Drosophila melanogaster: one gene and its partners. The protein of the gene in region 1 interacts with the protein of each later gene in a pairwise test. Each region holds a gene or a part of one and is shown in the gene's direction. Other genes may lie near its edges. The genes, in order: Vps4, CG1894 and CG15602.

Region 1 (7,504 bases):
ATCGATAGCGATGACGAGGATGAGCAGAAGTAGGATCCTTTAACGAGATAAAGGCTTCGAACGCCGGCATTCCACCTGTTGCCTCAGTCTTGTATAAATGATTATTTTTGTAAAGCGTATTGTAAATTTTTTGCACTATTTTTTCCCCGTCCCAATGTCAATAAATAAAATGTTAAACTAGAAATTCTGGTCAATATGCAAACTGGATTTGGGGCTAAAGCTTTGCTACAGTTCATGTAAACTCTTAGTATCTAAGAACTATCACCGTGGAGTAGAATGGGAGTAGACTTGGAGTTGGGCCAATGCTGTGCACATCCCAGCTAGCGTTCACTACCGCACCGTCTTGCGGTAGGTGGCGTCCATCAGGCGGTCAACCATGCTGTCAATGGGATGGATGATAAGCGGTATGCTGGCCAGACCCACCAGGGTGGGCACCGTCTTTAGCACGGGCATAGGCGCTTTGCTCAGCAGTGTTTTGGTGGCCCAGGTGATCCTAAAACGATATAAATGAGCATTGCTTATTATGTGAACATAAACTCATAAAAATGGGTATGATCTTGGAGAGAACGATGACTTCATCGTGTATCTACAAATATACAATAAACCTGTTTTTGCAACATTGCACATGCCATTCTACTACGTATATGCACTCTATAGTATAATTTTTACTATGCTTATATAAGATAAGTATTATGCAACTAATGGAAAAAGGGAATCTTTAAGACGCCTCATTCCCTACTTCCAACTATGTAAATACAACCATTAAGTCTACGTTTTTGGGCAATTTTCTGGCAAGGGTTGAACGCACCGATTGATGACCAGGCCGGGAATGGCGACGGAGGCCAGCATCTGCCAGCAGAAGACGTCGCCGCCCTTGACGGCCACTTCTCTGGAGGAAGCGCCCTCCATTTGGAGGCGCAGTGCCTTGTCAAAAGTGTCCGTGCAGACGTATCCGATGGCCATGCCGTAGGATGCGGCCACCAGAGACTTGGGCACCAGCGGGCGGAAGGACTCGCCAATCTCGTTGCTGTAGCCTGCAAAGCCGTAACAATTAAACTCATATATTTCGATGGATCTGGGCAGATTCTGCTTGGGAGGAACACTCACCCATATAGCGAATGAAGGTGTCCCGGTAGATGTCCACCTCCTTCAAAGACGTGGAAGTTTTCTTGGTGCCCTTATCCCGGCGGATGAACTGTTTGTCCTCCGACATTGTCTATTTTTTTTATTTTTATTTTTTATTTTTGGAATGGCAGAAGTTCTAATGCTATTTTGATTTTCGAGTAATTGGGTAATATGACAAGATGATCTGATCTTCTCCAACTGACGCAAAATCAGCTGGCAACTGAGTTTCCTAAAAATTCATTGAAATCGCTTAAAATATCGCTTTAAATAAAATAATTAAAGCGCCTAACTGCCTATAAATTGGAGACTTAAAAACAAACTGTTTATATAAATATTTTAATTGCGCGTATCGATAATGTATTATTGTTATCGATTGTCAGAGCTAGTGGAAAAAACGCTAAAATCAGCTATTTATGGCGATTAAAATTTATAGGAATTTATAGCAATTATGAAATATCATATATTAGTTTTTATATTGTATTCGTTTTTTAATGAGCTAAGTCCATTTAATATCGCTTGCTATACACTTAATCATATAACATATGAGTTCCGAACTCTTTTAAGTTAAATAAAGTAATGTGAACAAATTGTCATATTGTCACATATGTGAATTTATTAGAGCTGGATTTTTGGCTACACTTTCAAAAACCGCGCCAAGTAATTTCACCTTTCCATGTGTGACCATTGCAGCTGCACCGCAATCTAAGGCCCAGCCCGCGCTGTGGTCACACTGACAAATAAAAAAAAACAAGACGTCGTCATTCGCGTTGGAATTCCAACAAAATAGTTAAGTTTTCCTTTTGTTTAACACCTGTCGAGTTAGCCAGCGAGTTAGTCAGTGACGCTTGCCGGAATTCCAGGAGCAAGTCAGCCAGCATAAATGTGAGTAATGGTCGGAACTGACCCGCCATCCCCTCCGCAGCCGCCCCGCAAAAAGTTGGCTACTTGTGTTTTTGTCAATGCCGCTGTATTCGGGCATTAGTCATGCCCAGAAATTCGATTTTGCTCGCGAACTGCGTCACCGAAGGACACTGAGTAGCAAGATGGGAGTTACTACTCCGCCAAGGATCAATTGGGTAACCATCGTCATCGGCCTGGCCAGCGAAACTCACGCCGAGATGATAGATTCCCAAGGGGAGGGGGGCTATTACAGCCCGAAATATATCAAAATTCTATGGAATCATTATGCTCGGGAAGTTTGGCATTACAATATGAGTTATAGAATCGTTTTGGATAGTGAGTGTAAAGCAATCAAAGGATATAAACAAAGCTGGGATCAGATCCAGTTGATTTTGCATAAATCGATATTGTAACTATATTTTTAGAACCTGTTTAATAACTTTATTTTGAACTTTATTCTATACATTATGCTCCATATTGCACAAATCGATTTGCCCACATATTTGTGGCATCTTTAGTTCTCTGTGTAGTAAAGTTGTAGGCTTTAAAATATGACAACTTAACTCTAAGCTGAGCAGAAATGATTAGAAAGCGGAAATTAAGATGATAAAATCCATAAGTAGTCCACGTTAAGCCTTGGTGGATAGTTCCTCCCATCAAAATGCCAGTTGAAATAATGATGTGTGAACGTTTGTAACTTCCAGCACCATGGCAGCCGGTACCACACTACAGAAGGCCATCGATCTGGTGACCAAGGCCACCGAGGAGGATCGAAATAAGAACTACGCGGAGGCACTGCGTCTGTATGAGCACGGGGTGGAGTACTTCCTGCACACCATCAAATGTAAGCAGTCCCATTAGTGCATCTAAAATGCACTTATACTCACTGAATAGAAGCAAGCTGACTACTAACTATCAAATTACTATCTAACGAGCAGATGAGGCACAGGGCGAGAAGGCCAAGGACTCGATACGGGCCAAGTGCCTGCAGTATTTGGACCGGGCCGAGAAGCTAAAGGAGTACCTGAAGAAGGGCAAAAAGAAACCGATCAAGGAGGGTGGTGAGTCCAGCGCCAAGGACGACAAGGACAAAAAGAGCGACAGCGATGACGAGGACGGCGACGATCCCGAGAAGAAGAAGCTGCAGAGCAAGCTGGAGGACGCCATTGTCATAGAGAAGCCAAAGGTTCAGTGGTCCGATGTCGCTGGCCTGGATGCCGCCAAGGAGGCGCTGAAGGAGGCCGTTATCCTGCCGATTAAATTCCCGCAGCTCTTCACTGGCAAGCGGATTCCGTGGAAGGGCATCCTGCTGTTCGGCCCGCCCGGTACCGGTAAATCCTATCTGGCCAAGGCCGTCGCCACCGAGGCCAATCGCTCCACATTCTTCTCGGTGTCCAGTTCGGATCTGATGTCCAAGTGGCTGGGCGAGTCCGAGAAGCTGGTCAAGAATCTCTTCGAACTGGCCCGCCAGCACAAGCCCTCCATTATCTTCATTGACGAGATCGATTCGATGTGCTCGGCGAGATCGGACAACGAGAACGACAGCGTGCGACGCATCAAGACCGAGTTTCTGGTGCAGATGCAGGGCGTGGGCAATGACACCGATGGCATTCTCGTTCTCGGCGCCACAAACATACCGTGGGTCCTCGACTCGGCCATTCGCCGTCGATTCGAGAAGCGCATCTACATTCCGCTGCCGGAGGCGCATGCCCGCCTCGTCATGTTCAAGATCCATCTGGGCAACACCACGCACGTGCTCACCGAGCAGGATCTCAAGGAGTTGGCCGGCAAAACCGAGGGGTAAATGCACTTTATAAACTATTTGCTTCACTATCACACAAAATTGATCCATTGTTTATAATGTTTATATGTAAGCATATTTAACTAAGTGAATGATTTTCCGTTTTGCAGCTACTCTGGCGCGGATATATCAATCGTTGTGCGCGATGCGCTGATGGAACCCGTGAGGAAAGTGCAGACCGCCACGCATTTCAAGCGGGTATCCGGTCCGAGTCCCACCAACCACGAGGAGATTGTCAACGATTTGCTGGTTCCGTGCTCACCTGGCGACCAGGGCGCCGTCGAGATGAACTGGATGGATGTGCCCAGCGACAAGCTCTTCGAACCGCCCGTGACCATGGTACGGCATCCTTAGCTATCAACCTTTTTTCGCAGTGCCAATAATCTTTCTTGAACTTCTACATCCAGCGCGACATGCTGAAGTCCTTGTCCCGCACGAAACCGACCGTCAACGAAGACGATCTGAAGAAGCTGCGCAAATTCACAGAGGACTTTGGGCAGGAGGGCTAGACACGAACCCCGCCAGATATCGTCAGCACCACCAGCTAATTCTAATTGTTGCCTATTGCATAAATTCAAACACGTTTTACTTCTGGCTCTCCTTAAACATTTTTTTTATTTTATATATATATATAATGTATACATACGATATATGGTTAAAATTTAATTCAAATTTGTCGTTCGATTGCAACCGGAGATGAAGGACATGCAGTGAGCGTGAAGCGGGTGGATCTGTGGATTGTTGTAATCACAAAGTCAATGTATTTTTGTACTCTTAATGTTAAGCGACGGAAGAAACCCGATATCCAGCCTGAAGTTTGAAACCTAATGTAATATGAGTGTCCGCCGCGCTTGCGCAATATTTGCCACTCGGACTTGCCACGGACACCTCAGATCAGAGCAGCACCAATCAGCGGAGGAGCTGGAGCTAGAGCTGTAGAAGCAGAAGGAGAAGAAGGAGCAGAAGCAGGAGCAGTTTGCGGAGTTTAAGCGCAGTCGAGCAAACCTATTTAACTTGTAACGTACCAGAAATAAAAACGAAAATTGTATACCATGTATGACGACGTAGCGGGAATGCCAATTGCCAGTGGAATCGTCGCGGGGATTCCCCGCCGCCGCAAGTGACCCCATTTCAAAGTGAGCCACCAGGTGGGTGGGTGGCCGGTGGACGGAATGGAGAAACTGAGCGCCGAGAGTATCAGCGGCAGAATGCGAGAGTCTCAGCCGTCTGGCCCACATGCCAAGTGCGATAAGATCTTTCCAGCTCACCAGCATATGTGCGCTTGTTCCTGGCCGATCGACCAGATATCGAGCATACTGCGAGCTGCGCACAGTGGGCAATGACCTATTTGTATGGAGCAAACTAAAAGAAACCTACTGATGCCATAGTTGAAATATTTTTATAACACAAAAATTGCATTTCTCTGTTGCTGCTCTTCCTTTGCATTGGTTCTTTATATATATATATTTTTTTTTAAATATTTTTCCCTTTTCCCTAGTTTTAAGCATTTAAGTCCATCGAAAATAAATGCTATAAAAATGAAAATATCTTTATTTTATAGCGTTGCTTTAAGTAGATTGATTTGTAATATTTGAGACATTTTGAATGTAGTTTTTTAGTATGAATTATTATGTTATTTCCTATTGTAAGCTTTTTGCCCATCAGCTCCACTGTGCGCTGCCGAATGCTGCCGAGCAGTGATTGTGCTCTTCGGCTCTTCGACTTCGCCTTCGGATCGCTGGGTTTTCGCGTTCGGTTCGTGAGTTTTGAGCCGTGCTTTGAGCCAGAGTTTCAGTTGATCTTCGGCCGCAAAGGCTAGAGGTTTGAATATTGTGGGATCGGTCCGCTATAGGTTTTTCGCTATATTTCGCCCGCACATCGGCAGTTCCGTTACGTGAGTGCAGCGCCGTCGTCTGCGCTGCATGAGGCCAAAGATACAAGCCGAAAAGATACAGATACACGGCGACAACGTTTCTCGGTTGGTTTTGCGCAACTTTGTGAAAAGCGTGATAGAGCCCAGATACGAAAAAAAAGTGCGTATTTGTTGTGATTTGTTTTTGTTTGCGTTTGGCGTGCAAGTGACATTTGTTTTTCCAAGGTGCATTAATTACCTGGCTCAGGGGCCTGGCCCTTACCTTACACACCTTATTTTAGCTCTTTTTTTTAAAGTGCGGTCTGTGGTGCACAAAGGAAAATATTCATTATTTATCACGATATAAAATAATGTCCTGCTTATTCAATAAGTATCAGCATTTTTTAAATGTTTTTTTTTTAATAAGAATTAATTTTTACGTTGGCTTATAACTTTGTGGATTTTGTATCGTAAATCGTTTTGCAGCATGGTTTTCATTAAATAAAGTGTTACTAAAATGTAGCATTCCTATCTTCTGTGTTGTATGTTGCTTTAAGCTTCTAAATCAGTAATATTTTAATATTTAATTAGTATTAATATATTTACATAAATTTGAGATACTGCAAGTAGCGTAGATGCTGATGCTAGTAGCATTTAGTGGATTTAAAGGAGCGCTGTTGGAAGGGTCAACCAAAGTGGGCAGGCGTTTCTCGCAGTGCACATGGGCTGCTGCTGCTGCTGCTGCCCCGACGAAGCGCAACTTTCACGCGCTTCAGGTGAAAACCGTGAGCCGGGTCTCAAATGAGCGAAATGAAGAAGAAGTCGAGTTAAAGCCGCACAGCAGCCGAACTCTCATGATTTGTTGTTGTTTTCGGTGTTGTTATTATTGGTAAGGTTGATGCTGTTGTTGCCGATGTGACTCTGTTTTTTCCCCCACATTCGCATTGTTTTAACCATTTGTTTCTTGGTTTTTTTTTTTTTTTTGCGTGCTTCACTTTGTGTTTTCGGCTACTGTTTTTTGTGTCAGTCGCCGTTTTGCGAAACTATTTCAGAAATGCATATTTCTTGCGGCTCAAATGTGTGTGTCCAACTGACTGAGTTATGCGCACGAAGAGCCTTTCATCATCATTGTGGCCACTAGCAGTTTTCTTCCAGTGTTCCACTGCTTGCACTTCTCGCACTGCACTGCTTGCATCCAGTTTGTTTGGTTTTTCTTTTGGCCACCAGGTGCATATTATGCATTATTCGATTAAACTTGTTTGCAGACGCACTGACATCAACACCTGACCTCCCCCCGCCCCCAGCCCCTTGTGGATCAGAAAAAAACTTTAAATCATGCTGACATTGACACGAATTGTCGCCGCCAGCAACAACTGAAAAAAAAAACTCCAAGAGCCAACAAACAAAAGTCAAATCATACAATTTAAAGTTGAGTTCCAAGCAAAACTGCCAACTTAAAATTTATGACTAAGATCTGTGGTGCGCGCTCCAAAATTAAAGTGCATAAAATTCCATCAATGCCACTGCTGGCCAACAGCAATGAATTATATTAATTTGGCTTACAAATTTGTATTTGGTCAAGTCAGTGGCACATTGCACCGCAAGAAAATTGTGCACATAAAGGGGTAGTTTCGATTTTAATCATATGCCATTTTGCTTCACTAACTGATGTTTTATTATGCAAATTTAGCTAAGTGGCTTTTATCACATTGATCTTGCAGGCAGTTGATACAGTTGCAGTTGCAACAAAGTTTCAACTCAAATTATATCGAAAACAAATGGAAAGGGCTAAAAACAATTAAGGAATATACTGCAACTATTTCTTT
Region 2 (5,746 bases), on another chromosome or scaffold:
CAAATTGAACCGAGAGTCGGAGCAACGGAGACTTATTCGCTGAGATTTGCCTGTGCAAAAATATGATAAAACTTGAGCCAGTCAAAAAACTTTGCAACTCTGGCCAAAAACTTGACTTTGCTTATGCGAATGAGGTGGCTGGGTGGTGGCTAAAATGTTGAATAATATTGTTGAAGACAACGCTACATTTTTTCTCAAAACTTTTCCATTTTCAGAAGGATTTTAACAGACGTAAATGGAACTGACTCAGCAATCAGACTATGTTAATTAGCCTGCGCACTAAAGGGCATTCCAAATGATTCAGAACGAGGGTAACCAAGCCAAATGGTCACACAAGTCGTTGCAAAACTTGGGTTCAATGAATTCGCGGGAAAGAAAAGCAACAAACGAATCAAAATCTAATTAACAAACCTTTATCAACTAAAGGCATCCCTAGTATATGAAGGTGCAGTTAAAGTTGATTAACTCAGCTGGAATTGGCTAACGAAGAGCCTGTTTTGAGCATCACTTGTGTGTTATATTAACATACTGCTAGTGGCACAAATAGCTTCCAAATTCCTGTGGACTCGTGCGATTTGATATGGCTGCAACCACAACTGAGATTGACCTGTGCTTTATTACTTCAAAAATGCGGCATTTGGCTAATGCTCAAAGGAATCGATCGAGTCCATGCCGGCGATGATGGCGCATCGCTGGCCAATTATACGGCTTTGAGGGCATCAGTTTGGGATTGGACCGTTCCTCAGGCGTCGACTCGTTAAGTATCCGCAAAGGATGCAATCTCTGCCAGTTACTGAAATTCGGCTTTGTGGCAGACAAAACTGCATTGAAGTTGTTGCGGTTACGGCTCGACTGCCTAGTTGCCTAGTTGCCCGACTGCATGGATGCCATGGCAATTGGCCAACGCAGGCGTCGTCTTAAAGTAGGCCCAGTTTATTAATTAACGCAACCCGACCGACCACTATTCCGGCTTTGCATCCGGCAGCCCAGCAGAGACGCCTGACCACACTTGGTTTGATTCCAACCGGATGGTAACTTGGAACTGGGTATTCAGTGCACACTGGCATGCATATTGAAGTGCGATTGCCGGGCTCTGGGCATGCTCCTCCTGCATCAATTATGGGCATTCAAAACTGTTTGTAACCATTTTCCAAATGTTCAGCTGGCTAAACAAAAGCCCGTCCAAACCCACCCAACACTACGTGGCCCCATGGAAACCGTTTCGCAAAGCCCATTGGGAGCCCAGCGCTTATCTTCACCGTACAGGTCAAGGGCTAATAGGTATCGATCCAGAGCTACCAGCCCAAACATTGGCCTTAATATTTTTATAAGACTGATGGTATCGAGTAATAACAAGGAACCAAAAAGCTTGGAGGCGTGAAATTAAGCTGGGATTAGAATATTGTATATGTATATATACATTAACAAGAAGCTGTGCTGTGCTTTAAACATATCGAAATAACAAAAGAATTTTTATTAAAAATATTTAAGCTTCAAGTTAGCTCGACTTCTTTGGCCTGTTTGAATAGTTCTGCACACACCTACGACTCTACGGCTCTAATTAGGGAGTATGACTCCGGGGCCCAGGAACCTCCTTTCAGTTGACTTCGTTTTCAAAGGCATTCCCCGCATCATTTAAAAGTTATTAAGCACAAATGCAAACAGACGTTCGAGTTGTCTCGAAGCCATGGTTGTGTTTATCAAACTTGTGTGACGTAGATAAATATGCAGTGGGGGCACGTTTCAAGCGGAAACGAAGCAGCACAGCAATAAAAAGTGTTTGATTTTAATGAGATTCGAAGTATGTATATAATTTTAATCATTTTTGTGTAATATTCTCTAGTAGAGACATGACATTTTTATATTTCTGCAGCGCATAGATATTTTGCAGCACAAAGCTATATATCAAATCGCTATAATATTTTTACGTGTACGCAAACAGAGACTCTTATAGAAAAGGCACACACACACAGACACACGCACATATGCAGAGTGAAGTCAATAAATTCTCATTTCGCTGGATGCGTGGAATATTTCACCTGCAAACAAAGTGTGCTCTTCGCTACTCTGCTCTCCGCAAACGCAATAATAAATACAAATAAAAACATGGCGCATAAAGATTACAGCCACCGCAAGCGAATGCTGTAGCAAAAGGAGCCAACTCATCCAGGAGCTTTCCATCCTGCTAGAACCCCCCCCCCCCCCCCATCCCGCCATCCACACACTCTCAATCCAATCTATATTAAGTATACGCACCGTTTGAACCATGCATTTTAATGATGTCTCCCGTTGGCCCGGGCTCGTCACCTAATCTTTCGCCCGGTCTCCTGGCCTCTCGCCCTCACATCCACCTGCTGTGACGACGTAAATGTTCATTTATTTTAATTAGTATTGAGCCGGGTTGTCCCTGCACTGGCGTCTTCGATAGATCAAGGTAGCAGGGTGTGGCGTAGGACTGAGATTATATCCCGAAATGTTTTCTCACTGAAAAAAATGTATACAACTTATTGTATAATATATATTTTTGCTCAATATATGTTCAGAAAGTTAAATTGGAATTAAAATTTAAAAATAACTTTAATGCTTTGATATTGGTGCTTCCTTAGATGATTCGATTTTTTGACAACAAACTTTATCGTTTCATTATTGATATCACTAATCGATATCAAGCTAAATGTGTCATCACTAGTGAAAAACCACGCTTTCTAAAAAGGGTGAAATTCGCAATAGGAATTGACAAATGGACAAGGAAAACAGATCAGGTGACCATTTAAAGTATCAGCCGTTGGGCGATCAGGACGGGATAAGTTCGAAATTGCCGGACATTCCGAGAGCCCTGCAATTGGTAAGAACAATACTGGTCAAAGAATATCATATGAGGAATGAAAAACTGCTGATAATTTATTTTTTTTTTGCCACTCTTCAGACTAATGCCAAGGAATCCTCCGCGACTCGCGGTTTAGGCCAAAGTGCTTCTAAGTCCGAAATGGGGAAATCCCAGCTTCAGAACGATTCATCTCTTCAAAAAAACATTCAGGAAACTAAAACCATTACTGGATCGTGCATCGAAGCTCAAAGAATAGGGGCTACACCGAAGAAGCAATTGGAAGGCGTCAAGGAACCTAATATGATTTCTTTATTACACACTAATGCCAGTAGCAATGTGGATGATCGCCAGCGCCAGGAGACAATAGATAATGAAAAAAGTGATGTCCAGAAAGAGAAAGAGGACGCGAAAGTGAAAGTCATAAGAAACATCGAAAAGGTGCAATTTGGGCGTTACGAGATCGAGACCACGTCTTCCAGTCCCTATCCTGTAATAAACGACAAGGCGACCACCATTTACGTTTGTGAATTCTGCCTAAAATACATGTGCTTGCGGAAAAGTTACTCCTACCACCTATACGATTGCAAGAAGAGGTGTCCGCCGGGCAGCTTGTTATACCGAAAAGACAATATTTATATCTACGAGGTCGATGGCCATAAGGAGCAGCTGTATTGCCAGTGCCTCTGCCTAATGTCAAAGCTCTTTCTGGAAAACAAGAAAATTCTTTACAGCTCGAGTTCGTTCTTGTTTTATATCCTGTGTTTGAAGGACAAGGATGGCGAGCACTTTGCAGGTTACTTCGCCAGGGAGAAGACTATGCTGAATATCAACCTGAATTGCATCCTTGTTTTACCGCCCTATATGCGCAAGGGATACGGAAAGTTGTTGATTGATCTGAGCTACGAGATCTCTCGCAGGGAGGCATGCATCGGAGGTCCCAAGAAGCCGCTGTCGAAAGTTGCCAGACTTTGTTACCTCAGCTATTGGGGCCACATCCTCCTCAATCTGCTGAGGCACCACTCATCACCGGACCTGGTGACCATCGAAGAGCTGAGCAAAGCGACTGGCTTCCGCGAGGAGGACATAATAAGCACTTTAGAATTTATGGGGATGACGAAGTACTACAAGGTTGACCACATCATGTTCTACACTACTTCATCGATAATTGAAGATCGCCGTGGGCTCGCACAGTTTAAAAAGCCGAGGTTGACCATTCACAGGAATCGCCTCTCCTGGAAGACACCCACAGGACGAAAGTAGAACATTTTCATGATATATGTATGCCACTTTGTATGCCAACAATTTACACTAGTAAACTGATTGCACTCATCTACAAGAATGTCCTTATCTTATTTTATTTTTTGCGGTGTACCTTAGACAGTCTAAAATAAAAATCACATTAGCGAGATAATCAAAATTCAAGGCCTGCGGAAATTAGGTAAAATCCAGGTATTAATGAAAAATCGATGACATCCCATGGAACTGATTCCTCAAGCCCATTGAAGTGGCTGCGAAGTTTGATTGCGCAACTTTTATGGTAGCAACGGCACATGCACTTTAAGTGAAGTCGTCAAAGAGCCTGGCAGTCGGTTGTTAGGCAATTTGAGATCCGGGCAAAGTTGACTTTTGCACTTGCACTTACTTAACCCACAGCCTCACTCAACTCACTTTGCCGTGTTGACGGTGCCGAGTAAATATTTCCATTTATGGTCCCATACACTTATTGAGCGTGGCCATCGTTCCACGTCCGCCGCTTCCCAGGAGCCAAGGGGGCTACGGGGCTACTTGACCTGGACCCGGAGACCTGGCAACTGGGAAAGTCCCTGGCACGTTGCTAATGTGCATAGCCATTAAGTCAGGGCTGCGTGTTTTGTTTACGCAACGGCGTGAGCTCTATAACTTGGCAGGGGATTGGTTGGGATGTGTTGTGTTGCGTTGGTGCATTCAAAGGGCCCACAATGCTCTGGCATTGCTATTCGACTGTTGCATGTTGCAAGTGCGGCTGACAGGTAACCGGAAGGGGGGTACCAGAAATTACATTAAATCGGATGGGTTGGGGATAGTTGGACTGGGCTGAGTTGGGTAGGATTGGGTTGCCCTAACAACAGCTAGTCAAGGCAACCAGCAACATAGCCGGGAAATGGAATCAAAACAAGCAGCATAAACAATTTAAGCAACGTCGTTATTATTATTCGACAGCTTTAATCAAAGCAGCCCTGCTATATTTTCGTCAGGGAAATGGAAATAACTTTCATCAAACGCCGTTAACAAATTGTGTACCTGTATATCTGAACAGTGTGGCCCAAAGACAACATTTCAAGGCATTCCATATTTGGTTTTTAGACGGCTGGCATTGGCCATTGCCGTAGCTGCAGCCGCAACTGTTGTCCTGGGATACACAAAAGGATTTTCAGACGCCCGGGAGTAAATACACCAGCACTCTGTGGCGGAAGCGAAACCAAACTGCACAGCGAGGCAGCTGAAATTGATTGAAAGAACAACAAAAACGGAAAGGTGGTTGGGCATCCACCAAGTTGGCATCCAAGTGGGAGGACGAGAGATCCTGTTTGTAACGAGAAATCCTGCGAAATCAAGGCAAACGTTTGATGTTCAGCCGCGCGAAGACGCCGACGTGGCAGCCAAACAACCAAAAGAGAGCAAGCAAGGGACCCAAAACCCACTCACATCGGAAACCCACTCCACCGCCCAACTTCAAGAACCTATTCAAATAAGCGACGACCACCATGTCACAAACGCAATTTGAATCCACCTCAGACAGTGCCGATGCCACGGCAGAGTCCCTTAACAACGTTGAACCCCGTATCGTCTGGCTGAAGACGATTATGTCCAATATGCTGGGAGTTTTTGAACCCAAGTATGTGAATGCAACGATCAGCAAAAATATGCCTGCCGTGGAGA
Region 3 (5,530 bases), 2.1 Mb from region 1:
GAATCCTCAAATTACAATTATAACCGAATGCTAACAATTTATGTTAATTAATCACACCAACGACTATAGCCCAACGAGTTTAACAATATTGTTGATTTAACTGGAGGATACTGCTATTTGATTACTTCGCACGCTTTCCATTGACATTTGAATATAGGTTCTTCTTATCGGGATGATCCGTGCACTATTGGAACGAGCAGCCCATATATCACAAAAACGACAAAATGCCAGAACAGTTTTGACAGGGCCCAGGGTTCATCTTCGTGTAGCCTTCTAATATCAGCTAAATACATGGGCAAATGTTATTTAATGTCAATCTCAGAACTATTGAGATGGCATGTAACCTACCAGGTGGACGTGGTTCGAAAAAGTTGAGCCTAGATGTTATGAACCCGAAAGGAAAAGCTCCAATACCGAAAGACATGTGAAATCCGTCGCCGAATCCGAATCCAGGGAACCCGGGAACAGGATCTGGTTCTGTACGTTGTCCAGCGGGGCGTGGTGGAACTTTGTTACTGCAAAACACATATAAGTTGGGTTATTGAAAAATACTCATGTTGAAAGCGGTTCAAACCTACCGTGGATCTTCCTGGTGTGTACTATTTCTTCCGTACAGCGGTATGACCTTATCCTTATCAACGGCAGCCTTACAAACGGGACAGAGTTTGCGATTGGGACGCGTCAGGAGCCACTGATGCAGGCACGGCCAGCAGAACAGATGGCCGCACATGCTGACCACAGCATCCTTGGCGGTGTCCAGGCATATGTTGCACTCGTAGAGTGAGTCGTCTGCGGTATGTTCCTTCTCCTTGTCCTTTTCGTTGGCTTTTGTGTCCGTATCGGTGCCGCCGAATGGATAGCCACCCTTCAGATCGGCCTTATTGCCACCAGATAGATAGTCTCCAGTAAAGGAATACGAAGTGTTGGACTTCTTCAGTTCCGATGCCGTCGAATTGGTTGGAATCGAGGTACCCAGCGGGCGCAATTGACTTGTAGATGACTCCTCAGCCAAGGGTTCTGTGATATCCCGAGTCCAGGCTATCTTGTCGTAGCTCACGTTGTTGGACAAAGTCGATGAGGACGACGATGCCCCGGTTGATGTGCTGGGAAGCTCCGCTGTGGATACACTTTTCGGTTCCTCCATGGTTTGCCCAAGATGCGGGTAAAGTTTTAGTCGTTCAAGCTGCAACGTAACGTTGGATGATTTAGAAACCCAAATTTGCTAAGTAAGTCTGTGTTCACCCTATTGACAAGTGCCTAGATTGCTTAGATGATTTTCCTAGGCCATTTCTGGTGTACAACTAAGGTCCGCACTTTCTTGAATATGACTTAATTTAATTAAATACTTCAAGCGCAGTTTGAAGGGGGTTTCCCCCGAGTTCCGCAGCATTCAGCATTTGTCCGACCCCATGGGGTGGTGTTTATGGCTACGAAAACCGCCCAAAGGGCGTATTTACCACCAAGTCTTCAAGGATAATGCACCGAACATTCCCATTGGCTGCACCCACATAAATTAAACAAAAAAGTCAAATTTTGTTTGAATTGCGTTGGCAAACAAGACGGTATACCTGCATATGTACCTGGACTTATGTGCGTACTTATGTACACATCTACACACTCAAACACTCGCGTGTATATAGGGCTAGAAGGTTTCCATCTACCTGTTACATATGTACATTGGAACCGATTATATGCTTATTTATACAGTACGTATAGATGTCACATAATGTTTTCATGGAGCACTTCCTATTGGAGTCAAGGGGAATTATATGCTCATATACATCGAGTTCCAGGGATTGCGTTTAAACGCATTATAACTTAATTAAACTATATATAACTTCCTGTGGCACAGCAAATAGTATAACTTCTCAAAATTACTTACATTGTAAGTGTATTGTTTGCAAAACCTGACTTGTTTGCCCTCATTTTATTGTTTGTTTTCGCTCACTGTTTGCTTCTACTTGCCGTGCTAAGTATTGTTAAACCGAATCAGAGAATGTTGCTAAATTGATTGTGTGGACAAGTCAATCAATTGACGTCTTAGCACCTCAAAACAATTGCACTGACGATACCTGACCGAGGCCGATAGACCTTTACCCTATCGGTAAATAGCTGCCTGTATAACAGCCCGTCTCCACCGGACCAAAGTCCACGCTCGCGTTAGATAACTATCGAGTTAGGTGAAAAATCTCGGATCTCAATGAATCATTTGAAAAGTGATCAGTGATCAGTCCTCGATTGATTTGTAAACAAAATAAACTACTAAATACATTTACAAGACTAAATACTATTCATTAACAGCTGTTGTGTGCCATGGACAATCGATACCAGGACTCACTCGACTATCTCTAGTTCCTAACGATCTGGTCACAACAAAGCTCAAGAATTTAATAATATTGATATTAGACTAAACCAAAACAAGGAACAGCTGATTTTTAGAACGCTAATGCGTTTAAGTCGTAATCGATAGCTCACCCACTGTACACTGTACACCATCCCTAATTAGAACTGGCTTCTTTCAAAACAAAGCAAACGAAATTTGAAACTTTTTCAATTTATATGTTCCATTGGTGACTCTGGTTGCAATGAGCTGCTTTGGCTGCGGTCGCAAATATGGCCTATTCTGCAAGGAGGCAAGTGCCATCAAACCAAAGCAAACCAACATATATCACCTACTTACATTGTGTTAAATCCGAAATTTTAGTATGGATGCCCCAACTGCGGCTACTCATTCTGCTCCAAGTGCTTGAAGAGACCAATGCCCGTGCCCCGTCATGCAGGAAAGGTGCACAATGTGTGCCTCATATGCTACGACAAACTATCCAAACTCCAGGCGAGCGCCGATGCCGAGAAAGTTATAGACTGTGATGCTTTGCCGGGGATCTTAGTCACCAAAATGAACCTGGCTCCTCCATCCAAAAGTTCAGATGGCGCCGATGCCCTATTCAAGTAAGTAAAATACCACATTAAAACACCGATTCTGAAACTATAATTCGATTAATTGCAGCGACAGCCTGCCTGTGGAGGAGCTGCCACAGGCATTGGTTCCCAGTTCCAGTTCGTCACCACATTCCAAAGATCACAAGGATCATATTGATGAGAACCTGGACAGTGAGTTGACCAAACGAATGCAGGACTATAAACGAGTTGATGCCACCGATGATGAGATCCGCACCCGTCTGGCCAATCTCACTGGGATGCCGCATACGAAAAGCTACGATAAGAAAGATCTGCTACTGTCCACCGACCAAAGAAACGATCAGGAGAAAATGAGGGACTTGCTCGCACAATTCGTTGACGAAGCCCAACTGGATCAAAATATCAGCAGGCAGAGGGATGACTCAATTTCCGACATTGAGAGACGTCTGCGAGCTCTGCGCGATACACCCGTCGATTCCGATGCATGCCCATCGAGATCCCAGATGGAAAGTATCGCGGACAACGAAGAGGATGACGAGACACTTCTACAGAACATATTGAAAAAGGTTCGCATTTATATAGTAGCATTATTTTTTTTAAGCCAAATCATCACTTTCGTATTCCCATTCAGTATGTAGCAGAATCGCGCTTACCAGAACCTTCCGAGAGTGAAATTAGTCCAATTAACACTGAGTCGCCCGGCAACACCGAAGAATTGCCCTGGTGCAATATTTGTAACGAAGACGCCGACTTCCGATGCCACGGATGTGGTGGGGAACTCTTTTGCACTCTATGCTATAAGGAGTGCCACGATGATGACGAGGAGTACCGTGCTCACGTTAAGGAAAAGTATTCGGCTCCGCCAAAGCTTAAAGAAAATCACTTCTAATTGTTAATTGTTTACTTGACTGTACGCAAATTTTTGTTTAATTATAGATTGTTTTCAGCAAATGCATTACTATTGTCTGTATTTATGTGGTGCTAGCTCGCTCATATTTGTGCAGTATAATTGTTGCTTCTCTTTCAGTTGTGAATTAAAACAGGTAGGCGATGTTGGTTCCGAAACATCTTGTGGTTTTTCCACCTTTCAGCGCTGCAAAAACTATACCAAAATATAAAGTAACTTAACGAAACTGCCAGTAGCTGGAAAATTTATAAACAGGTGATTTAATGTTCAACATTATAAACGTAACTCGGGTGCATTTAAGTCTAAGTATGTGAAATGGTGCTCTTCTTTTGTCCCTCATTGTTCCTCCTCCTCGATATTGTAAAAGTGGGGCCATGTCTGTATCTCCTCGTACAATCGCCGACCAGGACTCTCCGTCGAATTGCACTGGCAGTGACAAATTAATCTATAGTCGGTGGATATGTGACCATCCTCAACGCCGCGGGCCAACAGATTGCGGCACATATTCAAGGCGTCTGCCGTCGGGAGTTCTTTCATGAAGCATCCAATGAAACTGATCCCCAGCGAGATCCTGTTGTAACCCAGAGTGTGGGCGCCCACCGTTTTCCATCCGCGTCCCTCGTAGATGTTGCCATCGCAGCCGACCAGGAAGTTGTACGCAATGTCATTCCATCCCCGCGACTCAATGTGGAAGCACTGAAATATATATACATAATTATTATATAGTTCGGAGCATATATGATTTAATTTCGCTAACGAAATACTTACCTGCATGTCACGGATAAGTCTTACGTTGATCGCCCGCTTTTCTGAACTCTCTGTAGCTGTGTGTACTGCGTGGTAAAACAATATTTGTTAATCAAGGTTTTAAATATATTCGAAAAGAGTTATAATACGATATAATCTTAGGTTAGTGAGTGCTAAGCATGATGGTCAGATCAAATAGTATAAATTGTTTTAATTATTGCGTCATACTTTTACAGACAACTTGATTTATAATCAGTTGGCAAAAAAATGGTTAAAACGTGCAGCAAACTTGAATACTCACAGATAACCACATATTTAACAGGCAGTTGCAAGGGCAGTGGCTCGTCCATGGGCTTCTGTGCTAGCCACGAAGAGCGCGGAATGATGGCGGACAGCTCCTTGGGTATTTTGAATTCTGTAAGTGAAATCGGTATCCTATGGTTAACGTGTATGCATCCCCTGGTGAATGATAGCTTACTCTGGCGCCTGATGAACACATCCGAGCGCACCCTCTCCTCCGACTCGTCCTGATAGTCGTCTTCGAAATGTGTCGGAGTTTTGGGAGCGTTATCTCTCGGTGGTGAAACATGCCGCCGATCTCTTCGGTTTTGAGTAAGGCCATCGGCTATGATTTGTATATTTCCATTAATATTGGTAACATTGCCGATATGGACGTTCGTGGAGTTGCTTATATTAACGTTGCCCAAAGTCTGAATGCTGTTGATCGAGTTCATAAGGTCCCTTATGGTGTCGCTGATGATCGAATGCTTTTTGGTAGCTTTAAGGTGGGGATATATTGAAAGTGTTATAAATTGAATATAGAAACTTGATCTTGAGTACTACGCACCGATTTGAGTGCCTAGTGTCATAGTGCTGATTTCTTCACTGGTATTTTGGTCGGCATCCTCCTCTTCCTCGGTATAATCGTAGTCCAAGCTGTCCACAACCGAGGACTCT

Evidence for each region.
Region 2: the proteins of Vps4 (region 1) and CG1894 interact in a two-hybrid assay, tested with the Drosophila melanogaster proteins (one large-scale study listed by BioGRID).
Region 3: the proteins of Vps4 (region 1) and CG15602 interact in a two-hybrid assay, tested with the Drosophila melanogaster proteins (one large-scale study listed by BioGRID).

Annotation. Positions count from the first base shown.
Region 1 is NC_004354.4:17,905,845-17,913,348, forward strand, and holds Vps4 (vacuolar protein sorting 4), read left to right. Parts: upstream 1-1,847; 5' UTR 1,848-2,007; intron 2,008-2,729; 5' UTR 2,730-2,733; coding exon 2,734-2,869; intron 2,870-2,963; coding exon 2,964-3,825; intron 3,826-3,936; coding exon 3,937-4,165; intron 4,166-4,233; coding exon 4,234-4,335; 3' UTR 4,336-5,253; downstream 5,254-7,504. Other genes in the region: Gss2 (glutathione synthetase 2), read left to right, coding at 1-33; CG7772 (uncharacterized protein), read right to left, coding at 331-493, 809-1,034, 1,108-1,213.
Region 2 is NT_033777.3:28,481,912-28,487,657, forward strand, and holds CG1894 (uncharacterized protein), read left to right. Parts: upstream 1-2,645; 5' UTR 2,646-2,740; coding exon 2,741-2,845; intron 2,846-2,926; coding exon 2,927-4,087; 3' UTR 4,088-4,151; downstream 4,152-5,746. Other genes in the region: Dhc98D (dynein heavy chain at 89D), read left to right, coding at 5,572-5,746.
Region 3 is NC_004354.4:15,797,089-15,802,618, forward strand, and holds CG15602 (uncharacterized protein), read left to right. Parts: upstream 1-2,337; 5' UTR 2,338-2,585; coding exon 2,586-2,633; intron 2,634-2,704; coding exon 2,705-2,949; intron 2,950-3,007; coding exon 3,008-3,485; intron 3,486-3,550; coding exon 3,551-3,808; 3' UTR 3,809-3,873; downstream 3,874-5,530. Other genes in the region: sordd2 (suppression of retinal degeneration disease 1 upon overexpression 2), read right to left, coding at 165-283, 349-515, 579-1,144; PGRP-LE (peptidoglycan recognition protein LE), read right to left, coding at 4,163-4,522, 4,595-4,659, 4,875-4,988, 5,052-5,351, 5,421-5,530.